4 linked regions of the Schizosaccharomyces pombe genome follow. The gene in region 1 interacts genetically with each later gene. Each region holds a gene or a part of one and is shown on either strand. Other genes may lie near its edges. The genes, in order: mug123, pzh1, irc20 and ppk14.

What was found.
Region 2: mutations in mug123 (region 1) and pzh1 together harm fitness more than expected from each alone (negative genetic interaction), as found in Schizosaccharomyces pombe (one large-scale study listed by BioGRID).
Region 3: mutations in mug123 (region 1) and irc20 together harm fitness less than expected from each alone (positive genetic interaction), as found in Schizosaccharomyces pombe (one large-scale study listed by BioGRID).
Region 4: mutations in mug123 (region 1) and ppk14 together harm fitness more than expected from each alone (negative genetic interaction), as found in Schizosaccharomyces pombe (one large-scale study listed by BioGRID).

What each region holds. Positions count from the first base shown.
Region 1 is NC_003421.2:696,225-701,391, reverse strand, and holds mug123 (protein mug123), read right to left. Parts: upstream 2,608-5,167; 5' UTR 2,355-2,607; coding exon 1,647-2,354; 3' UTR 1,328-1,646; downstream 1-1,327. Other genes in the region: TATA-binding protein-associated factor TAF6, read left to right, coding at 1-1,227; RNA cap binding protein cbc3, read left to right, coding at 2,993-3,212, 3,265-3,517, 3,640-3,787; rml2 (mitochondrial 54S ribosomal protein uL2m), read right to left, coding at 4,309-5,167. UniProt on the Schizosaccharomyces pombe protein: Involved in sporulation and has a role in meiosis.
Region 2 is NC_003424.3:1,526,081-1,532,136, forward strand, and holds pzh1 (serine/threonine protein phosphatase Pzh1), read right to left. Parts: upstream 3,693-6,056; 5' UTR 3,432-3,692; coding exon 1,884-3,431; 3' UTR 1,485-1,883; downstream 1-1,484. Other genes in the region: rnf13 (RING finger protein), read right to left, coding at 1-69; SPOM_SPAC57A7.07C (homocysteine methyltransferase), read left to right, coding at 4,109-5,035; U3 snoRNP protein Utp14, read right to left, coding at 5,233-6,056.
Region 3 is NC_003424.3:4,656,480-4,665,283, reverse strand, and holds irc20 (ATP-dependent DNA helicase), read right to left. Parts: upstream 6,188-8,804; 5' UTR 6,029-6,187; coding exon 2,707-6,028; intron 2,688-2,706; exon of another isoform or gene 2,667-2,687; coding exon 2,401-2,666; intron 2,363-2,400; coding exon 2,163-2,362; intron 2,121-2,162; coding exon 2,080-2,120; intron 2,040-2,079; coding exon 1,741-2,039; 3' UTR 1,441-1,740; downstream 1-1,440. Other genes in the region: AP-3 adaptor complex subunit Apl5, read right to left, coding at 1-485, 537-698, 739-897; ornithine decarboxylase Spe1, read left to right, coding at 7,266-8,564.
Region 4 is NC_003424.3:768,670-773,166, reverse strand, and holds ppk14 (serine/threonine protein kinase Ppk14), read right to left. Parts: upstream 2,628-4,497; 5' UTR 2,545-2,627; coding exon 844-2,544; 3' UTR 501-843; downstream 1-500. Other genes in the region: tRNA 4-demethylwyosine alpha-amino-alpha-carboxypropyltransferase Trm12, read left to right, coding at 1-494; SPOM_SPAC4G8.04 (GTPase-activating protein), read right to left, coding at 3,077-3,355, 3,419-4,497.

The sequences.
Region 1 (5,167 bases):
GAAGCCACTAAGTTTATGGTTCATTCTAAAAGAACTGTTTTAACTAGCGCAGATATCTCTTCAGCGTTACGGACGTTGAATGTTGAGCCGTTATACGGCTTCAATAATTCTCGTCCATTAGAATTTCATGAAGCCGCTGTAGGTGCAGGCCAAAATTCCCTTTACTACCTTGATGATGAGGAAGTGGATTTTGAAAAAATCATAAACGCTCCTCTCCCTAAAGTCCCTAGAAACATTTCTTACAGTGCACACTGGCTGGCCATCGAAGGTGTGCAGCCAGCCATTCCTCAAAATCCAACTCCCTCAGATCACACAGTTGGAGAATGGGCATCCAAGGGTACTTCAGGGGTTATGCCAGGTGCTTCAACTGCTGCTAAAGAAGCTCGAAACGGTGTCACTTCGATGGACAACGTTGAGATAAAACCGTTGGTGCGACATGTGCTATCCAAAGAGTTACAGCTTTATTTTGAGCGTATTACCAGTGCATTGCTTGATGAAACTAATGTTGAGCTCCGTGATGCTGCCCTATCGAGTTTACGTGACGACCCCGGATTACACCAACTTTTACCATACTTCATAATGTTTTTATCGGATTCTGTAACTCGAAACTTAGGAAATCTTGTGGTTCTTACTACTTTAATGCACATGGCCTGGGCCCTTCTTGATAACCCCAACCTTTTTGTAGAGCCTTACGTCCAACAACTCATGCCATCCATCCTTACTTGTTTGGTCGCGAAGCGCCTTGGCAGTGATCCTAATAATCACGAGCATTATGCACTAAGAGACTTAGCTGCTTTTTTACTCGGGATTGTTTGTGATCGATTTGGTAATGTGTATTATACATTAAAGCCTCGCGTTACTCGCACGGCACTCAAAGCATTTTTGGATAACACCAAGCCATATTCCACTCATTATGGTGCCATCAAAGGCTTAAAAACTATGGGGAAAGAAGCTATTAGAGTCCTCGTCGTTCCCAATATCAAAGTTTACGAAGTCCTAGTTCGGAAAACCTTGGAAAAAGGAAATGAAGAGGAGATTTACGAGGCCAATAAATGTATGGATGCTTTGTACGACGCTTTGCTATTACTGCGGGATGATCAATTACCAAATCAACGAACTCTTCCGCCAAATGCTAGTGGTCTTCTTGAGAAGAACGTTGGCAGTTTAATGGCTGAAAAGATAATGAAGGAAAACGATACCTCATTGCTTCTTGGTCTGCTAGAATAGTCTTCGTTGGGCATAAAATATTTGTTTTTGAACAATTTAATCTATGAATCTCGGACTTTAAAATATTTACCCAATTTTCCACACTACCTAAACCATTATAGGTTCTATAATTAAAATGTTATTGATATTCATGTTACATTAAAACAGGAAGCACCGAATAGCTTTCAAATGAATAAAAATAGAATGATGATAATATTGATATAGTTTATTTCATGTTTTGATTAAAGATGTGAGACTAGCTGACAATGCCGGGTTTTAAATGAAAGAAATACGTAATAGAACAGAAAGGGGAAGGAATGCTTGATTATGCCAAAGAATGCGAATAAAAGTAAACGAATTAAAGCAATTAAACTAGGTGAGGGAATAGCACCATAATAAATAATAATACTTTATCAGATATCGATGGAAAAATAACTGCACTAATCGCTATCGAATTCATCATTGTCCCCCATATTTGTGATTACTAGACGTTTCATTCCTTCTTCAGCACTGTCCTCGTCTGAAGATTCAGAACTGCTGCTTCGTCGATTGACAAGATAAGATTGAATATCATGAGTAGGTGATCCGCTACGAGATTCAAAGCCGTCTGATTGAGTAGTTTCGGCTCTGGAGTCTGCTCTTGAATGTATTGACATTCCCATAATGGAAGGTGCAGTCCCACTATGGGTTGAGCTGGCACGTGAAGACTCAATCATTGAGATATATGTTGGTGCAGTATTCGATGTCGAAATTACCAATTCGTCCTCATCGTCATCCTTACCTTCGGTAGCAGATAATCGTGGAGTAAGAATGGTGTGCTGAGGAGCCATTGTACGTGAATGAAGCGAAGCAGGACGGGTGTGATAAACACCATGATGCTGGCTAGAAAATACCCTTGAGCGCATGCCTCCTAAGCCTTTGCTGGAAGACTTCCCATTTTGTGATGAACTTTTGATTGATGGGCTAGAGTGTAAAGGAGCCACACGGCCTATATCACTCCAGACAGTCGCCTTTGCACGGCGTAAACTCTGTACGTAAGAAAAAGTAGAACCATTTGACTCATGGTTGCTATTAATGGCATTCGAAGTTGGAAGGGAAGACCTCGAATATGGATCATCATGGCTCGATCGAGTAGCTAAACGTTCCATGCGATTAGTCTTCTGTCTAGTAATGATTATTATCTATTTATTCCTTCTTTGAATAAGTTGCTTGTAGAGTAATTCCAATTAATTTTTAAAAATTTCACAGACAAATGCCGGGATTAGAAAACGAATGGTGTTAAGATAGACAATCTTTTATTTGATTAAGCAATCAGCTAAAACTAATTAAACAAAGCTCATATATCTTTGAAAAGCGCAAGAATTAATGTTTCGTACTGAAAATTGCAAATGTGCGGAAGCTATGTTTACATGTCTCATTCTCGAACATACGGTGTCCCAGAGGTAAATCTTATTAGGTTTTACTGTAATATCCCATAAATTTCTGTAAATAACAATACGCAATTCAATGTGCTTTAGCGTACTGTAGATTCTTACACAAACGAGCCTTACATGCAAAAAGCCGATTTAATCTCCATTTTCCTTCTTAATTTTAAATACAAATTACATTTGACTTCCGATCTTCACTCATTATAGGAGACTGTACCGATTACATTGCCTATAGGGATCTTTCATCTCTCGTTATTCTCGTATAGCAAATTATAGCGCGTCGTAATTTTCTTTGGACGGCACATTCACTCTTTTGGAAACTGCATGTCTGCGAAGCAGTTGTAGAGAAGTAGATTTAAATGGATATCGTTGCAGAGACTCAGATTGAAGAAGAATCATTGATACCCGACGCCACTAGTACTCCATTAGAAACGGAAGTGGTGGCTGATACTACATTGCGTAAAACAGCTTTACATCTAGCTGGCGTCGATAATCTTTCAGAAGAACAAGTCAAAGGATTTATTTCAGCTTATGCTCCTGAATCTCAATGTACAATTGAATGGATTAATGATAACGAATGTAAGAAGCGAAAACTGGCAAAGGGTTAGTCTAACTCTATAACCGCGTATAGGCAACGTTGTTTATGCGGATGATGATGTTTCACGAAATGCTTTATTTCATTTAATTATGGAGTCTCCGACAGAATTTTCAGAGGAATTGGAATATCAAACGAAACCACACCCAACTGTACCGACGTGTCAATTCAAAATACGTTACGCCCGCTACGGAGACAAGAAGGTTAAAAGCGCACATCTTTACTCGAGATATTATCTGTTTCACGGTGATCCTCGAGAAGAAAAGGCTCAGAAGAGCAAATCTAAAAGGTATAACTTGTGAAAACCAAATTAGTCCGGGTGCACTCATACTTTTCAAAAATCATTTCCTCTACTTTTGAGAATCTCCTTTTACTCAATTTTATATTCAAATTACTAACACTTTCGCACAGTAGAAATCAAGATGAAAGGGGTTCGCCATTAGATGAACGACTAGGTCCTAAAGTGTCTGACCTTACACTGATGGAAAGAATATTCCAAGTTCGACGCAAGCCACGCAAATCAAGGAGAGACCGTCGTTCCAGGGTTTCCAAGCGTTAATTGTGTTGTAGAGAAATATTAAATACCCAGTTTATCCGCTTTTAAGTCGCTTTTCGCTGGACGAAGGCAAGAAAAAATTAATATGCTAAATTAGCTACAATTTTATAAATAAAATTTTTTTATTTAGTTGGCCATATTAAAATAAAACCGTTCTTTTCTGCGTTTAATAGAATACTCTTTTGGTACCTGAATGATATCGATAACCCTTTTAAGGTAGATGTAAGCAAACGACAATTTTGAATGGGATAGTCCTTAGCTTTAAGCAACGTTGTGATGAACAAAAATTACCAATACAGATTTAAATTGTAAGAGCTAAACTCTTAAAAAATGCTTAAAATTTTTCGTCGATAAATGACGGTCGACACAAAATAACTATACATAAATGCATCTGGTCCACAAATGGATAGGTAATAGCATCGACTATTAAAATGGAGAAGGGATCATGAAAATTGAAATGCATTACGGTAATGTAAAACATAGAAATGTAAAAGTCATGAAGACAGAGATCATTAATAAAATGATTACCGCTTTTCCTTTCCACGAGGACGATCGCGGACGAGTAATTTATTAACATTTTTACCTCTTCTTGTTTTGTATCCACCTTTAGCCAAAACACCCCAAGGAGATTGAGAAGGTTTATTACCAATGCTTTTACCACCACCACCACCATGTGGATGGTCACATGGATTCATAGCTGTACCTCGAACCGTAGGACGAATGCCAAGCCAACGTGAACGACCGGCTTTACCAAGCTGGCGATGTTGCCAATAAATATTGCTTACAACACCAATGGTAGCAAATGATGTATCCAAAATCTTTCTCTCTTCACCACTTTGTAGACGAACGATAGCATATTTACCATCAAAAGCTATGATACGAGCGCTACTGCCAGCAGAACGACATAGCTTTGCCTTTTGATTTGGATTTACACCAATGGCATGAATGACAGTTCCTATAGGAATTAATCTGAGAGGAAAACAATTTCCTGGCTTCAAATTTTTTGCTGCAAAAGTTCCATCTTCAATTTCAGCAGCTAGGACGGGGTCCATTTCTACTGGCTCGCCATTAGAACCAGTCTTCAAAAGCGATCGAAAGCTCTCAACTGTATCGCCTTCGCGAAGCCCGTCACAAGCCAAAATATAACTTTTGTTGGCTGTTTCGGAATTCAATTTTTCAACAAGGGCAATGTGACCACTTCTACCAGGGTCATACTCAATTCTAATCACTCGATGAACACCCGGTACTTTTCTTTCAAAGTCAACAAGACGAATACGTTGTTTGTGTCCACCACCCTGATGCCTTACAGTAATTCTTCCTGTTTCATTTCTTCCACCTTTTTTTCTTTTTGCAACGGTCAAAGGTCGAAAAGGTTTCCCTTTC
Region 2 (6,056 bases), on another chromosome or scaffold:
AATTACCTCTAGAAGAATGATATAACTAATGGATGCTAGAATACAAACTATTATTTGATAATACGACATATTAATAATTTACAGAAGGCGTGAAGAGTGGAGGAAGAACGGATACCGCAAGGTGAAGCCGCTTAGTTATATAGCACCTGTATAACGATAACTACAGAGTCACCAAAAAAGGTATGCGTAAGCTATTTTGAGATATTTTATTTTATTTTAAAACCCTTTTCACTAGTAGTTGCCAGGATTATTCAATTGATTAGTAACATTGTCAGCATTAAGGCAAGTTGCAGTGTTCAACAAAAGGAAATCCGATATTTGCGAGGGATAAAAAAAATTAATACAATTTATTCCCAATCAACTTATTTTAAAGACGAAACAGTCAGTAGAAAACAAGCTCTCTTGAAAGATACTTTGTATCTGATCAAAAGAGGTAAATACTTATATAATATTGAAAAGTATCATTGTACTGTATAAAGTTATATAATAAGAACTTAAGATATTTAGCTATATAATATTGTAAACATAAGTCGAGCATTCTCTTGCTCGTTAGATTTCTTATATTATTCAGTTTCAGCAGCTTAAAAACAACATCCTCTATCTTTAAAACAACTTTTAAAAAAGAAGAAAATTCTCTTTATATCTTTGCATAGTATCATACATGGATTATCAGGCATGACAATGAATCTGATAATCGATTATATTTCTACATTGAATCTAAAAAAAAAATTAAAAAAAATTCATTTTACCCTTTACTACGTAGGGTCATTTGTTTTTCCAGTCACAATGGGTCTTTAAATAAGCCAAAATCAAGACATTCTTCTTTTCTTTAATGGTTATGAAAGTCGAAGCACCATGTACCGTTATGTCTCATTACAATTAACTCTGCTTTAGTAGTGTCAAACAGTGTAAATAATTGAAATAAAACGGTTTCTGCATAACATTGAAAGTATAAACTGACAGCTTGCTTTTTCTCAATTCCATTAACATGATATAAAAAATTATATTGACGAAGGTGGGGTTCGAACCCACGCCCACATACGTAGACTAGCAATTGCTTTCACCTGAAGCTAGCGCCATAGACCACTCGGCCACTTCGCCATAACTACTGAATTTTAGAAATTTAGTGTATATATTACTAAACACTTTGAAAGAGCCATTAAACTGTAATCTTTAGAGATTATGTGTGCCTTTATTTAATATATCTGAATTCGTTACTATTCTTCGAATGATTCATTGAACCTTGAAATAATGTGATAAAATATCTTGATTGAACGAAAAAGCTGACACAAACAAAACAACGCAGGAGATTTATCAAAGAACTGCCTACTTGGCAGCATTATGCAACAAAAGTAGCTTACTCATTATACAATAAGGAAACCAAAATACTTATCACAAATGGATCATGGAAAGAAGTACTTAAGTACGATACCACATTCAACTTTAGTTTTCAAAGTGTTGTTTTAAGCCCATCGTATGGGAGATTAGTAATTGATAGAAGATTTACAAAGAAATGGATACATTTTCGCTTTAAATTTATTTAATGCTAATAATAATACTATAATAATTGTTTATTTCCTCCTCATGTAAATTTTTTACCTACTCTTTCGATGTTCAGCAGGTGTCGGTTAGCAAAAATAAAAAGCAAGTTAACTGTCACTATATGGAAATGATTGTGTTTTTATTAAAAGAAACAGAAACTTATACTAAACGTGTCAGGATGGAATTGCCCTCGAACCGATAAAGTGAACCAAGGACTTGATCCATCACCATAGTGACTATAACATAATAACAGATAATACTCATTTAAGAGAATAAAATAGTGTCCCAATAAAACCGCTAGATAATTTCAAATGGAGACCAAAATAGAAAAAATAGAATGCTTACACGCTTTGGGTAACCTGCTCAGCAGGGGGAGATTGATAAATAGCCATACCACTACGCTTGCTCTTTTTTAATTCTCGTCGAATTGCTGCCTGGTCGAGAGGCTTTATAAGTTCAAAGGAACAAAGCAGCTCTGAATTAACACTCATCACGGCCCCCCAATTATCAAATTCCCCACAGTAATTAGGGGCAGAAAACACCGTACATAAAGTTCTGTCATTAAAAAATTCATAACCGTCTTCAACAACCATGTGAGCACGACAGATTAAATCAAAGTCGTGCTTGGCCAAAAATTGCCGGATAACGTTTTTGTTGAAAACAAAAGAAACACCTCGTTCATTATCTTCCCAATCGTTTTCAGTATCAGCAGGATCTGACCATAACAAATCATTCAGCAATCCATAGTCAGGAACGTCAGTAGGACGAGGAATCTCCCGTATGTCATCCATATGACTTAACGATGGAGAAAGACCACCATGAACGCAAAAAATTTTACCGGCTACAACGGACGCAATGGGTAAGCAATTAAAGGTGTTTATGAAAGTCTTCCAAATTTTGATATTGCAACGTCTTTTACACTCATCGTAAAAACCGTAAACGCGAGTGATATTAGCGCATTCATGATTGCCCCGTAGCAAGAAAAAGTTTTCTGGATATCTGATCTTGTACAAAAAGAGCAAGAGGATGGTTTCAAGACTCTGCTTACCACGATCGACATAATCGCCTAAGAATAAATAATTAGAGCTCGGAGGAAACCCACACATTTCAAACAGTCGAATTAAATCGGAATATTGACCATGAACGTCACCAACGATTTTCACCGGCGGGGTCAATTCTAAAAGTGTCGGCTGCGAAAGAAATATTTCTCGTACGGCCATACAAATGCTGGTAATTTCAGCATTCTTTAGACACACACTTTTACTACTTTTTCGAGAATAGCCAACATGGATCAATCTTTGAATCATTTCATCTACGTTAAGGCTAACAACTGTTTCAGGATCATCAGGATCCGTAGAAGAAATTGCCGAATTAGGGATAATTACGGGCCCCTGCTGATCTTGTGGATACACAGGACCATTATGCTCAGAAGCTGAATCAAAGTTGGAGCCAATTGGGCCAGAGCTGGTTGGTGAGGTAGGTGATGTTGGAGAAACGGCATAAGAAGAAGAAGAAGAATGATGATGATGATGCTGGGAAGCGGCCGTAGAGGGACTAAGCATGGCAGGCTGGTTAGAAGGATGCGGCGACGTCGGAGATTGAGAAGAATTTCCCGAATCCTCCTGTTGATGCTTTTGCAACACAGCCGGAGATGTAGCTAATATCCCAGGAGAAGGAGGAGGAGGAAGGCTTGGTGGTGTTTCGGGATACCGGTGACGACTATGGGTTGTATCAGTAGACGTTCGGCGATCATGATTCGAGTCTTTGCCCTTCCCCAGGACTGTTTTCAGAGACTTTAAAGACTTAATGGATCCTTGAGTGTCTGACCGAGAAAAGGATGGGTAGGAATCGAGCTTGCTGTCGGCGTGTTTACTGCTCCCCTGTCCCATTGTATTTCAATTAATGGTAGATTCCGGGAAACTATTCCACTTTGTTCTATTTTTATTTTCTTTTTTACTTCAAAATCGAGACTTCGTTGCTTGCATTTAGTGCCAAAATTAAAAGGTTTCCCAATTGTACCTAGATTTTTTCTATTTTTCGATATTTTCCGTAAATTAGTAGATTTTCTCTTCTTCAAGTAATCCTGGTCTATAAAAATGTTTTGCTTTGCTGACAAAACACAATCGTTTAAAAATTTGTAAGGTCGTGGTGAAGAATGGGTTAACAAGTGATGGGAAGTGTAGTATAAATCTGATAGACGTAGTAGCCCGTTCCATCTTACTCGAGAACTGAACTCGCTGGGTCCATCTAGTGTGGTGCAACGATGATGGCGCACTTACTGTATAATAACTGCAGTGTATTCCAAAGTAAAATAAAAGGCGCAATTGATCCACGTAAATTAACGTTAAATTAAATATGGAAAAATTTCGCGTTACGTTATATACTAGTCTGATTCTTACTCAAATGTTTTTGTTTTGGGTCGATTGGGTTTCTGATTGTGCGATATTCTCTAAACTGTTGTAATATCCATCAAAAGGCAGTTACATCTGTTAATACTAGTGTATAACCTGAGATACCATTTTTGCTGTTCGTTGAACTATTTTTCCCAATTTTTGAGTTTTCCAAAATGCTTATGTTAGACGGTGGCTCTACTGCCATTCTTCCAAAGCTTCCTGAAAGTATATCTGAGTCTAGATTATGGACCTCTGAAGCACTGGTGCGTTATCCAGAGATCGTTGTTAAGCATCATGAAGAATTTTTAAAAGTTTGCGACATTATTAGTACTTTCACTTATCAACTGGATGCTTCTATCTACGACGAAAAGGTAGAAGGTGTACCATTAAAACAGGTTTACGCAAACAGCATTGGGTTACCTGTTTATGCTAGAGAACATTTGGGTTTGCCCAACAAATATATTGCTTTATGTCTCGGAAGTCATGCTGCTACTATTCCTGGATGTATGGAATACAAAATGATTTATGATAAACCCACCGATTTTGAAATGCTATACAATTTTCATAAAAACAGAATTGAAGCCATTCAAGCATCTAATCCTAAAGCTTTCGAAAAAATTGACTTCATTGCATTTGAAAGCCTTCCTCACGTGACTGAAGCAGAAGTAGTATGCCAACTCATTCAAGATATGAAAGGTTGGTCTAAGCGTTGCTGGATCACCTGTACGTGCCCTGAGCGCAGCACTATTGAACGAGTATCGTCCATTATCTCCAAGATACTGAGCATCAATCATGACTCTATATGGGGCATCGGTGTTAATTGCTTTCACCTCAGTTTACTCGAACCCATCGCAAAAATGCTATCCAGTCTTTTACCATCCAACATAACTGCTATTTTGTACCCTGACGGCCGCGGGTTGTATCAAAATCCAGACGGTACTTTTTCACCTGGCTCAACAGATCATCCTGCCCCTTCACCTGAAGAATGGTCAACTATAACGGCTAAATACTCAAATCTACATAATGGAAACCTGATACTCGGTGGATGCTGTGAAACAAATTATAATCACTTATCTTTACTCCGGGAGAAAACGAAGTAAATTATAACCATTTTAATTAATTTTCCTCATGATATTAATATATTTGTATTGAATTAATTTTTTTCTTGTTTAAAGTATTTACCTCAAAATATATATTTCTTCCCAATATCCCAAAATCCATTACAAATGTATCTAATCTACTGCAAAAGATATCAATCTAATAACAAAAATCCAAAACTCAATGTACATATAAGAATCTAATTAGGTGCCTTAATAGGATTAATGACTTTACCACGTTTGGTAACAACTCTGGGAGCAACAGCCTTATGATGTGAAGCTCGAGTAGTCCATTCTGGTCCCATAGGCAAGTTAAGAGATCGTTCATACTGTTCTCGTGATTCAAATGGGAACGGAACACTATCAGCAGTAAGCTTAGCAGCTTTCTTGTTGCGTTTTTCATTAATAATCACATGCTTTAGCTTAGAATCCTTCCGCTTTGACGGATCTAGTCCAGCAATTTTTTTAACCTTAGGCTTAGTCTTTCTTTGTTTTACGCCAACACCTCCCCATGAACCCCAACCGGGCAAACTATGATCTTCTTCTTTCGGTGCATCCTCTTGAACCCAGTCTTCTTTATCCTTTTCAAATTCAGCGACAACATCGTCGCCAGCAAATGCTTTAGCAACAAGCTCTCTCTGCTTAATTGACAAACGACCTTTGGTTGGCTTTAACATAGGTACCGAAACATCAACATCCGATTCCGCTTCCGACGCTGATTCAAAAGCCTTTTCTTCAAAAATTAAATCAGGCTGAACTTTAGGTTCTTCGACAAGTTCTTGAAGGGAGGCAACTTTGTCCATTTTTAACTTGTGATTCTTTTTGTCTGCCTTAGAGCTGTTTTTATCCAACTTTTTGGCAGAAGAGGTCCTTTGGTCAGGTACTTGCAACCATGGATTAGTTTCCTCAGTTGCTTCTAATGGTGATTCCTTTTTTTTTCGAGCTTCGGCCTTCTTTTGTCCTTCCTTCATTTCCGGTTTGTTGACTTTCAGCACCGCTGAATCAGAAACAAAGGGATTTTTCC
Region 3 (8,804 bases), on another chromosome or scaffold:
ATACACTCATATAAAAGTGACATCGCATGTGTATTCTCAATAATGTCTGTCAAAGAAGGAATCAATTTCTTCACCAATCGAGGTTCATATGGAGTCAAGGAAGCAAATAATTTGATAAGCTTTATGAGCATCCAATTATTTGAGGAAGTTGTAAGAAGATGGAAAAGATCAGGAGCAAACTCGAGGTAATTTTTAGGAGCTCTTCTCGCTAATTCACAAATTACACTGACAGCAGCATTTACAACGGAAGTGTCAGGGTCGTCTAATCGTTCACGTAATTTTGGAATGCAAGCTGAAATAGCTTCAGGATACTGCAAGCATAGTCGATATAGGAGTAAAATTGTACGTTTCCTTACGTACGGTACGGAATGATTTAAAAGAATCAATACGTCTCGGTATAAATCACGCGCAAGGCCTAATGTAGAGAAGTGTGAGAGACCGTCAATGGCCAGAGTAATTTCTGGAACTTTAGAGCTCATTAGATCCTAATAAAACCGTCAGCTTTGTAAATACTTACAGATTAAAAAAAAACATACCTTCTTAAGCAAATTAGTCGTTAACATTAAAACGTCTGTATCTGGTTTAAAAGACTGGACAGCAGCTAGATACCCTTTCTGCTTCTGAAGAATTTTAGATGAAGACATTACCTCAACGATTTGGAAACTGGCCCAGCTAATATCCACCCCTAACATTTCCAGCTACTTTTGTTAGTAACTTTATAAATAAAGTTGAACGAACATATGCAAGCTTTAAGATTGCTTCTGATTTAAGATCTGCATCCTGCGATGTCGCTTCTTTTCGACATTCTAGTAAACAAGTCGCAATAAATGCTTCCTCATCATTTGCATGAGATCTTATCCCTTTAATTAGGTCAATTAGTGTCCTTTCAAACACCATGACAATTTATAATTCAACAGTCAGTTAAATATATCCCAAAGCCGGCTTTATGCAGTTTGCTCTCTTAAGACTATATCGCAATGTATCCTTGACGAAAAGGAATTATCGAGCTGAAGCAGCAATCGTTAATTAGTTATATCGCGTAGCAGTGAATTAGCTAACGCAGTTGAGAAAAATAAATTGCAATGAGTTTTATTAATAATTATTGTAATTTGATATAAAGTATGTCTCCAAAGATAATCAGTGTTATTTTAATAGTAATAAACAATTTTGTTTAACTATAATTGAATATGATGCTAAAAGAACTTACGTTTCATAGTTCAAATAGTCCTGTTCATTTTTATTAAAAAAAAAAAGATAACTTAATAACAACGAGTGTATATTCGTAGCACAAACGTATGTTCATTCTATAGTTATAGTTATAAATTAACATCGCATTTAATAGCCCAGTAACATCGCTGATATCAATGAAAAACAAAGACAATATGTTTTAATCCAATACCCAGAATGAGAAATGCGACCTTTCTTGCTATATTAATTTCTAATATTTACATAGGTTTGTATTTAAAAAAGTGGTTATAATTAATACAACAGTACAATGTTAAATTAAGTATAAGTTTCCTGTAATTCGGACTCTAAGTGTTTGCACAATCTAACCAGTGAAAACCAACTAATGCTTCGTGCTTTGCTTTAATAACAGATGAATAATTGAACAGTATTGAGCGAAGGGGTACTTCAGGATTAACCATACATCACTGTCACCAATAAGTAGTACAGTATTGCCGTTTATTCTGTTTAAACCTGACCTATCAGCATCATTCTCTAAAATCAATTTTTTCATGTTCATGAATCCTCTGTGGTGAGCCGCTTTAAAGCCATTTTAAGACAATCTTTAATTTCTGCGGCATCAACTTGTTCTCCGCCGCTGCTAGCTTCAGTAGTGCGATTGATATTACCAACTAGCGGTACATCCAAACCTAGTTTGTCAAGCTGCTCATGTTTGGTCAATGAAAGATTTAAAATATGACCTTCAACAGTATCTTCCACAATGTAGTAGTAAACAAACGTCGGACGAGTTTGCCCAATTCGATGAACGCGTGAAATTGCTTGCATTTCAATTCCACTATTTAGTAATGGTTCACCTGTCAATGTTAAAACTTGTTAATACAGATATCGACGTACACATGAAAACGTGAGTGGCATTTGTTAACGTCAAACCAGATCTAATGAAGATTAGAACAAATAATTAAACAGTTTAAACATACGATTGCGATCTTGCATGTAAAGTAAGTACTTGTAAGCTACGTTCTTCTTTAAACCTTTTTAGGCAAGTGTTCTTTGACTTTCCATCAAAACGTATGAAGACGATACCATTCGCTTCAAATGACTTGTGCAAAACATCCAAAACATCAAGCCATTGAGAGAATACAACAACTTTAGGATAAAGTTCGTTATGTTTCAAATACTAAAGTTAGATCCACTCTAAATACAAATGTTGCTTACCAAAAGATGTTTAGATATTGTGTCAATTTTTGATCCAAATGACTCCTTTAACTCCATATTAGAAATTTGCCTGTATGCTTCATCGTCGAGAATTTCAAGCCTTTCGTCTCGTTTGTTGAAACCAGTGACAAACTCTTGACGAGAGTATATATCCCTACTTTCGCCAATATAGTAAGCATTATTTTTGTTCAATTTGGTTTTGCACATTGGACACGACGAACTATGCTTCAACCACGCTTCCAAACAAAAACTACAGTACAAATGGCCTAACAAGTTAACTAGATAAACGATCCAACAAATACTTACCACAAGTTGTTATAAAACCTTGCTTAATTATATCACGACAAATTATACAAATCTGATGAGATTCAGCTTTAAGGACAATATGTTCATATAGGTTTGTTAAATACCTTCTCCTTGATTCGAAGTGAGCAATTTTACGTTGGGTATTGCTTTTTTCCTCTTCTAGCTCTCGCAGCAGATGGATATGTCCAGGTATATTCATTTCGGATATTTTTTGATTGACGAGTTCTGCTACGTTTGTTGTTTGACTTGCTTCGTCCTGCTTTTCTGAAATTTCTTTTTCCAAAATCACCGAAGCTTTAATTATAACAGAGTTCAAAAATTTTTGTTTTTTTTCGTCGTCTTTAACGTAATTGTTTAAACTGATATTTGAAACGGGAGGAGGCATCAAAGAGTCAGAAATTTCCTGCAGCTGTTTATAGTACTCAATCCTTGAATTATAAGTCAACTGAATTATACTCAATTCTTTTTCCAATTTTTGGCAAATTCTAGATTGCTCCTTTGCCATTGCATCAATCCGTTCATATTCTTCCATGTTTTTAGAAGTTTCAAAACTTGAGGTGGATCTATTTGATGCATCTAACAGTCTTGAAACTATATTTATTAATGATCCGTATTGATCTGCTTTTGGCCTTGCTTCTTCCCTTTCCTCAAAGTAAAGCAAATATTTTTTATCACGTTCTTCAGCCTGCTTGTCTAACGATTTCTCCGATTTTTTTATACTCTCTATAAGTTTGTATTTCTCAAGTTCTGTTTCATGAGACACAAAGGTATTAATAGTACCGCTGACTGCCGCTACTCGATCTGAAAGCATTTGACGGTAAACATCAATACAATAGGATATCTCTGATTGCGCATTCAATGATTCTTCGTATTCATCGCCGGTCGGATCCGATTCTTGATCCAGAAGTGGAAGTTTCATCAAATGGATAAGCCGATCTCTAAATTTTATAAGCACCTCCTTTTGATCATTCAACTCTTTATAAAGTCTATTATAGTCTTCAATTATACCATGTCCGGTTATGAGACCTTTTGCGTAAGATTTCTGTAATCGTGGTATTTTGACAAGTTTCTTTGGAATAAATTTTTCTGAAAACTCTTCAAGGTGCTTGCTGGTTTTGATAATCACATCACTCATAATCTTCCTTCTTAAATCCTGCGCGAGCAAATAAAATTCATTTTCAAACTTTTCGTTTTTTAAAGAAAAATAAGCGCTTGCTATAAAAAAGTATATTTTATGCAATAGAACATACCAAACACGCAGATGAATGAAATGATCCAAACCAAAATAATTAATCGGTAAATTTTTACCATGGTCCTCATATTTAGAGTTGTAAATAACATTTTCTAATTCTTTGACAGCGAGCTCGACAGGTATTCTGACTTCAGACCAAATAGCCAATGCTTTATTATAGTCTTTAATATGATCATATATTTGACCAACAATAATCTTATCGGAATAAAGCTTCCTGTTTAACGAGGAGAATGTAGAGTTTGTTTGTTCCAACATAAAAACTAATACATCATTAATGCTTTTCATGGGTCCACCTCCAAATGCGGATTTGTTACCAAATCCAACCTGCGGATGGCAACATGCCTGTCGTAAACGAACCAACCAACGCCTCATAGATTCTTCGTCACACAAATCCAAATTTCTGTCTTTGAAAAAGTGCAAAGACTTGGCCGCCTCTGATAATAAATCCTGGTAGTTCGTTTCTTCTACTACACTAAGTCTTGTAGTCATGCAGATTCGATGTTGAGGAGGTAATTTTAATTCTTCTTCAACGTCCTGTTTAGAATGTCTGCATACAAGGGAGCCAAACAGATCGCAAAATTCACGAACACGTTTCTTCTCTATAATTTGCATCCAAGCTTGTTTTTTGTATAAATACATAGGGGAGTAGCGAAGAAGAAATAAAAGGCCAAAAAGGTCATCAACTTCACTACGTACGGGAGTTCCACTTACAGTCCAACAATTGACACGAGGTATGCGATAAATCATTTGTGCGACATTACTCTGTGAAGTTTCAACCATCTGAGCTTCATCAACACAAATTCTCCACCAACATACATCAATCAATGGAGACTTTGGAGAAACATGTCGCTTTTCATGTCTTAAGGTCCTGGAATGAGATTCAGTGTACAATAGCTCAAACCGTAAATCAGAATAAGATGTTACCACTATATCACAATCCAAAAAAATTTTAGCTGATTTCAAACCATTGGATTTTCGGATTCCTTGGTAATGGAATACTTTCAATGATGGCACATGCAAATCTATCTCAGATAACCATTGATCGAGAATTGTAGAAGGCGTAATTATTAGGGTGGCCTTGGAATACTTTACATTTTTTCCGACGACCTGATCGAAAGTACAAGTATCAGTCAAAGAAATTGGCAACTGATGATGCAAAACTAATCCTAAGACTTCCAAAGTTTTTCCCATGCCCATTTCATCGGCTAAAATGCCTCCACGTATATCACCGGACGCAAGCAAATATGTTTTTTCTTTCGAAAATGTCATATAGCCGTAAACATGATTAACGTAAACCATTCGATCATCAAAAAGACTTTTGCAATGGTACCATAGAGGTGGTAAATCATTTGAGGTTAGGAATTTCTCTTCTTCTCTTCGTTTCATCCATTCTAAAACACGCATTTGAAATGGTAAAAGTTCCGAAGAAAGCCTTGGATCGCGTGATACATTGGCGAAACGTAGGCTTTTTGCCAATTTTCTTGCACAATCGTAAAATAGTGCAGTGTTAATATCTAAACAAGAATATTCCTCATCTTCAGACGGAAGGAACGTATAGTCTAGTAAAGCAGTGTATGAGGAAGATGATCCAGATGAAAGAATCGCATCTTGAGGGGCAAGAAAAGAGTCGAGTATGGAAATGCCAAACGACAAAATTAACTCGGATCCTTTTACAGTAACATAAGATGTGTATTTTATAATTTTCTTCAGCCGCCTATTATCCTCCCAAAGCTTACTCCAAATTTTGAGAGGTGCTTTTAAAGCAGAGTAAGTATCCTTATTCAAGTCGACAGAAAACAAAGGAATCAAGTTTTTGGCCAATGAAATTTTTCTTTGAGTAAAACTATATGCATGTAGTTTCTCAGATCCATCAACCCAAAAAACGACAGGATAAATAGTAGACTTTAGCCGATTTAACTCGTCCTCTGGTCCACGCCATATCTGCTGGTCTAGCTTGAGTTGGTGCTGGAATGCACGGTAGCAATTGGCGAAATCACTTTCCAAAAGGTTGTTTCTTTCATTTAGTAAGGAAGCCTCCTTCTCTATTTTTCGCCTCTTAGTTCGGTCCATAATGTTCCCTCTCTTAATTAAATACAGTCGTGTTTTGAACCAATAGACTTAAAAATTTTAGAATGAATAGAATTCTTTAATGTACAAAGAAATAAACGAAAATATATAAACCCTCAAGAACACAAAAGGGTAGGCATTGTGTTATGTGCTTTTGTTCTTAGTTGTGGGCAAAAAGTGTCTTGATTAAAACATGTGCCACTTTTTTTTTGCTAAAGCTTGCAGAGTCGAATATTACTTTGGTATTTTTTCCCCACCTTTCTTCCCTCTTTTTTTTTTTGGTTTAAAAGTACGACAAGGTAAATATCGATAAATCGTTTGTAAGGGAATTCTATTATTCACGGTTGAATCAGTACAAACACGAATTAGAACTCAAAATTACCTAAGAAATAACATCTACGTTAATTAGTAAGTAAATTGTAAATACTATTAAAATTACCGATACACTTAATATCTCATTTGCTGGCTAAAAGAAAGAGCCCTTTTTACTCGGTATTGTACAAACACACTATTCCTTATTGCTAAAACACTGTGCTCATCCTTTAAGTATATATCGATTACCAAGTTTAATTCAATTAGCAAAAAAATATAAATTCTAAATAAAACGTAAACTGGTAGGAAAGTTTTTAAAAGTGATGTCACCTTCACTGGACAAAGATTATTGTTATTGTCATAAACTAAAGTACAAAATATAAACTAAAGATTGTATACATATTAAAGAAATATCCTAGTTTGAAGGATTCTTGTCGTCGCAAATATTGTTAAACCAAACTGCGTTTACCGTATTACATTGCAATTCGATTTGTTAGACTATTATGTCAATAAGACAAACGCTAAACTAAGGTTAATTCTACTAGTGTGTAATATTTTTTTATGTACGCACACATTGCAAAATTGAACTTACCCTTAACCAACAACACGATTGGGAATTAGCAGAAAACAGTGACAAGTGGGTAAGAAAAAGAATCTGGAAGGATAAACGCTCTTTTTGCGCGACCACCAAAAGTATATAAAAGTGCAAATTTCCGTCTACGTCTCCTATTTAAGACAATCTCTCGAATAAGGACTTTTTGATCAACAGCAGATTTCAAATCATTGATTGATTTGAAATAGTAAAATTATTGTAAAGCGAGCAGTTGACAAACAAAACGTTTGTTTAGCTTGTATCCGAAGAAAAATTATTCAACGATTCAATTTAGTGATCTCGGAATTTCTAGAAGAGAAAAAGCTTACTTACACGATGCCTGCTATTATGGAAAAGAATATGCTCGTCAGCGAGTCGTTGCGTACGACGGAATTACTTGGCCATGTTAAACCAATTGACTCAGTGGTGACATGGTCTTCGCCTGGATCGTCTCGCCAGGCGATTGGTGAGGCGTTTAAAAACACGATTGAGGAAATTGAGCGTGCAGCTGTCCGTGGTGAACCCGCTGACTCTGATGCATTTTTTGTTGCTGATTTGAACGGAGTATATCGCCAACTTCTTCGTTGGCATGCTAAATTACCTCGTGTTCAACCATTTTATGCAGTCAAATGTAATCCTGATCCTAAGGTACTTGCATTGCTTAATAAATTTGGAACTGGTTTTGACTGTGCTTCTAAGGGTGAACTCGAACAAATTCTTGGCTTAGGTGTATCCCCTGATCGAATTGTATACGCCAATCCTTGTAAAGCCATAACTTATGTGCGCTATGCTGCTTCTAAAGGCATTAATCTGATGACTTTTGATAATGCCGATGAGCTGTACAAGGTGAAACAACATCATCCCAACTCACGTCTTCTTCTTCGTATTTCTACCGATGATTCCAATAGTCTTTGCCGTCTCAGTCTAAAGTTTGGTGCTTCTCTCGATGATACTGGTAAGCTGCTAGACATCGCAAAGTCCCTGGAGTTAAATGTCGTCGGTGTTAGCTTTCACGTTGGGTCAGGAAGCTATGATCCCTCAGCATTTTTGGATGCTATCCAACGATCTCGTCAGGTATTTGATCAGGGACTTGAAAGGGGATTTAATTTTGACTTGTTGGACATTGGTGGTGGTTTCATGAATGACAGCTTTGATGGCGTAGCAGACCTTATTCGCTCTGCCTTGGATACTTATTTTGATCCCTCCATCCGTGTTATTTCTGAGCCCGGTCGCTTTTTCGTCTCTTCTTCGTTTACTTTGGCTGTCAATGTAATTGCCAAACGGAAGCTTGATGATGAAGAGAAGGTGATGTATTACGTAAACGATGGTGTTTATGGTAGCCTTAATTGTATTTTGTTTGACCATCAACATCCAGTTGCTCGAGTTCTAAAGTGTGGAAGTCGGTTTGTGTACAATGATTTGGTTGGCACCGGCCAACATCGTTGTTTTATTTGGGGTCCTACTTGCGATTCATTGGATGTGATAGCTAACGATGCCCATCTTCCTTATGAGCTCAACGTCGGTGACTGGATATATTTTGAAGATGCGGGAGCTTACACTGTTGCAGCTGCTAGCTGTTTTAACGGTTTTAAAACCAGTCGCATTGTGTACCTTGATACGGATATCCTTGATTAAATTATTTTAAAGATCGGTGTAAGTTTATTCTACATTGCATAATCTCTTTTCTCTTACTACATATACTAATTCCATACTGGTTGGATTTAAATCAAAATTATTTCTGTGCTATTGTTCGCCTTTCAAGCTTTATTGTTACGTTTAAATAAAATTACAATCAAAAAGTTATATGCTTTATGAATCTATTCGAAAAAAAGAAAAGCACTATAAAAATAAATGGAAAAGAGCTAAAATAAGATG
Region 4 (4,497 bases), on another chromosome or scaffold:
GTATAGGGTACTTTACATTTTCTTACGTTAAAGCGGGAGCTTCAACAGTTTTTTGCTGGGAAATTAATCCATGGAGTGTTGAAGCGTTAAGGAGAGCTGCTTTGAAAAATGGCTGGTCTATTTATGTAGTTCGAAATGGAGAAAACTATGAATTTAAAGTAGGAACTCATCGTATTGTAGTTTTTTTGGAAAGCAACGTTTATGCAGCTGAAAGGTTCTCCAAAATGAATATTTCTGCTCGACATATAAATTTGGGAATGCTCCCCTCTAGTGAAAAATCCTGGTCAACCGCTACTTCAATTTTAAAGCGAGAATCACATTCCTTTATACATGTTCATGAGAACGTAAAAGATGAAGATATCGAAACATACTCTTCTGAAGTGAATTCATGTTTTTCAAAAATGTTGGCTAAAAATACAGTTTGTGTTACAAATTGTGTCAAATCATTTTCACCACGAGTGTCACATATCGTTTACGATATAGAGACGGTTTAGTTAATGGTAATTTTGTTAAGGTGGTTTTTGGTTATTTTACAAAATATGTTATTAGAATGGTATATGTTATATTCTGTCTAGAAGTTTATTTAACTTCCTATTGAAAATAGAGAAAGCATGTCTGAATCTGGTAAAAGTAAGGTAGAAAAAAGAAAGACTTTGTGGTGAAAAGGAGAATCTAGTTAAGCGAAATATTTTGTGCCTCAACAACGTATCAATATATGCAATGAATGAAGTCAGCAAATGCTCTTTTAATAATGGATTGATTAAACAAAAAGATGAGAAAAATATCATAGACGTGCGAAAAATTACCATCAATATGCAAGTTACAGGAAGAAAAGAAAATGACCTAATCCCACTCATGATGCACAGTAACTGAATTAAACGATTCGAAGGGATCATCTCCATGATCTGCACCCGATAAATTAGATAGGGGAACTTCAACTGTTTGTGTGTTTTGGGGAGAATGAGTAATATCCAAACTTTTACTTTCCTTTAGATGGGAAATATTAGGATTGCCTTTTTCATCAATAGGGGCAAGCTTTGGAATAATCGGAGGCTCAGTGTGCCTTAATAGAGCCCATTGGACATTTTTAAAAAAAGGATGAAGCTTCACGTCTGCAGCACCAGCCTGTGACCCAAGGCGATCATTTTCATCTTTCACTAATAATTTTCTAATCAAATTCTTGCAAAGGCTGGAAATTGAAGGAGCATCCGCATATTCAGGGAATATAACATCCTTGTGTAAAATATTCGAAAAAGTCATGTTTCTATTTTTACCTTTGAAAGGAGTCGTGGCATATAGCATTTCATAAAATAAAATACCCAAAGTCCACCAGTCAACAGCGCTTGTATGACCACAACCCTTGATAACTTCTGGAGCAATATACTCTTCTGTGCCGACAAATGAATTTGTGCGAAAATCTGCGATACATGATTTTGTATCCAATGCGTAAGCATTTTGAGCGGATGGTGCATTCCTGGCCTGAATTACCGTTGGTGCACCGGCAGAGTTTGATTGTTTAGATAAATCAAAATCAGAAAGCATAATATGTCCTGACTCATGCAACAAAATATTTTCAGGCTTCAAATCTCTATAAATAAATCCCATCAAGTGGAGGTATTCTAATGCAGCGGTAACTTCTGCAATGTAAAATTTGGCCTCGTTTTCTGATAAACAACGGCCAGGACGTCGTTGCAAAGCTCGAAAAAACTCACCTCCCATACAATACTCCATACATAAATAAAGGTATTCATCAGATTGAAAAGAATGATAAAGTGTAACAATGAATGGGTGGTTACTTGTCGCAAGAATGTGCTGTTCTGCAAAAGCTCGTTTGCTTTTGTTGCGTTTAATCATTTCTTGCTTACTCAAAACTTTCATGGCATAAAATTTGCCAGACTTTTTTTCTCTAACAAGATAAACTCGACCGACATCTCCCTTGCCAAGTAGAAAAACCTTTTCAAAGCTAGATGGACCAACCTCAACATCACATATCTTGATAGAGTTGGAAGAATATGTTCTCGCTCTCGTTGCAACAGTTTTCTTAATATGAGCCAATTCTTTTTCCTTCCCATGAGGACTGAAAATATCTTTTAACTTTTCTCGCTGAACTGAGGTATCAGCACCATTACTACGAGAAACATTTCGCGACTTGGGAACATCTTTCTTCTTCCTCCCACTTTTAAAAAACGATTTTTTTATTACGGAAATTGAATCAGTACCACTCCCGTCACCACCTTCTGCGGAACTACCAGTGCCATCAATTTTGCGATCAGACTCTTCCTCGGTCTGCGACTCAGGTGCACCAGAAGGTGATTGATTTGCAGCATCGCTATCTTCCGACGTCAATTCTTTTTCCTTCTTTCGAGAAAAAGCAAACTTTCTGCTATCCTTAAAATGCAGCCTTATGAAGGCTCGAAACTTGGATGGCTTGGCAGTGCCGGAATGTTTCCAGTGTCCTGTGTCATCTTTCTTAGCTTCTTCTAGGTGATCTTCAACATTGATCCTTCCTTCCTCAGAGCTCTCACCATCATGAAGTTCATTCATTTGCTTTTGAAAGTGCTACGAGTCGGTCGCAATACAATTCAATTCCACTGATATTTTTGTGTATGGCGGAAAGTACACCGGATGACATTACTGAGACACTGACACTTATGATATACTAGAAATATAACCGACTGCGTTATCGATCGTTGTACCTCACAAACCGTAAGAGCAATGTTTATATAGCATACAGGAAAATATATGAAGAGCAAGAATCTGTCTATGTTTATTAAACCAAACAAATCAAAAACTATAAGTGAAAGTTATGCATGGATTGCCTAGCTTCATACAAGAGTTTTCAAAAAAGATTTTACATTCTATACTTCCAAATTATAATGAAATGGACTCCTGAAACAGCATTAAAATAACCCAGTCATAGTATACAGTGATGGAAAACATTAAAAAATTATATTCATGAGTAACCCAACATAAAAATGAATAAGATGCCCATGAGGCAACAAAAAGCTTTTTTATTTATTAAAGATCATAACTTACCAACGATCACGAATCAAACCAGTAAAACAAAACAAAGAACTCAATAATTGACCGCTAAGTTTAACGAAGAAATAGCCAAGTTACGTTTCCGTTCAATACTCTTTTCCGTAACAAGTTTGGACCACCGATCAGCAGCCTCTTTAATAAACGAATCGGGTTGAAAAGAGTATTGAACCAAATCACTCAAAAATGAGTAGATGGCAGAAGAGGAATTGCATGCTAAAATTTGTTGCTTTAAAGATTTTAGAATCGTAAGTGCAACTCTAAATAAGCATACATAACCATCACAAAACAACATGTCAAATATTCTAAAAGATATCTAAAAAAAAGTAGTTAGTAAACAATTCATACTTTAATAATCTTTCAAAACCACTTATCGTACATTCGTAGGGAGTGTATCAGTATATACACTTAAAAACCAATGAAATGAAATGGCGTCCAAATCAACCCCAAGTAATTCTAAATGGGAATAGATTTCCGGTAATGACTCTTTCACAAAGCTTTTCAAAACCAGCTGATCAGCTCGCGAAGTCATCAGGTCAGGAGTAAAGTATTTCGGAGGTAAAACGTTTTCAATTATGCTCATTAGCATATAAAACGCGTCTTCTTCTGAAGCATATAATAAAAGAAGAAAGGCACCAATAACATTCATTCCTTGACAATAGCCTATGTGTGGATTGTGGCGGCTATAAGCAACTAAAATTCGTCGTAATTTCGGGATTCCAGGTCCTTTTCCTCCAAAAAATACATTTTTAGCCATAGTCCTGTTAATATCCATATCGATTTGCGCAACACTCGCTGATTCAACCTCATCAGTACGTGATAATAGTTCTTCATAATAGCCAGGTGAATGTAATTGATAAGCGCCTGAGCACTCTAACCAAACTTTAGCTTTATAGCACAAAGGAACACCATTTTTCACAAGTTCACGAAATTTATGCCATCTTTTTTTACCATGACGCCCTTTAACACCTATGCTAGATATTCCTAGTAAACCAATTGTATCCTCATCGGTAATTTTATATTTTTTGTACAAGCGTTGAAAAAACAAGCTCCAGTTTTTTTGTCGGGTACTTTCTTTCATATCCAATAAAATATCTTTTTTATTTAGCAACAATGGAGAATCGTTGAGCCCATCTAACTCGTTGCCAAAAAAATCATCAACCAAGCCATAATTGCTTTCATAGAACGACAGAGTCTGTTTCTGATTTAATTTTATGTCCTCCGGACATAAAGGGGTGTCGTGACTTGGTCGTTTTTGTAAAAAACCAAATTGATCGAGAATTTCCTTGGAATTATTATCTAAATAATCTTTCCAATCATTTCGCATTGAGGGCGGCTGGGTTTCCTTAGGAATCATATTTCCCAACTCCACAGAACCAATTGAAGGCATCGAAGGTGCTGTTGATGAAAGAGAAAGAGGCTTGTTATTTAAATTTGAGGTGCTCAATAGCTTGCTAA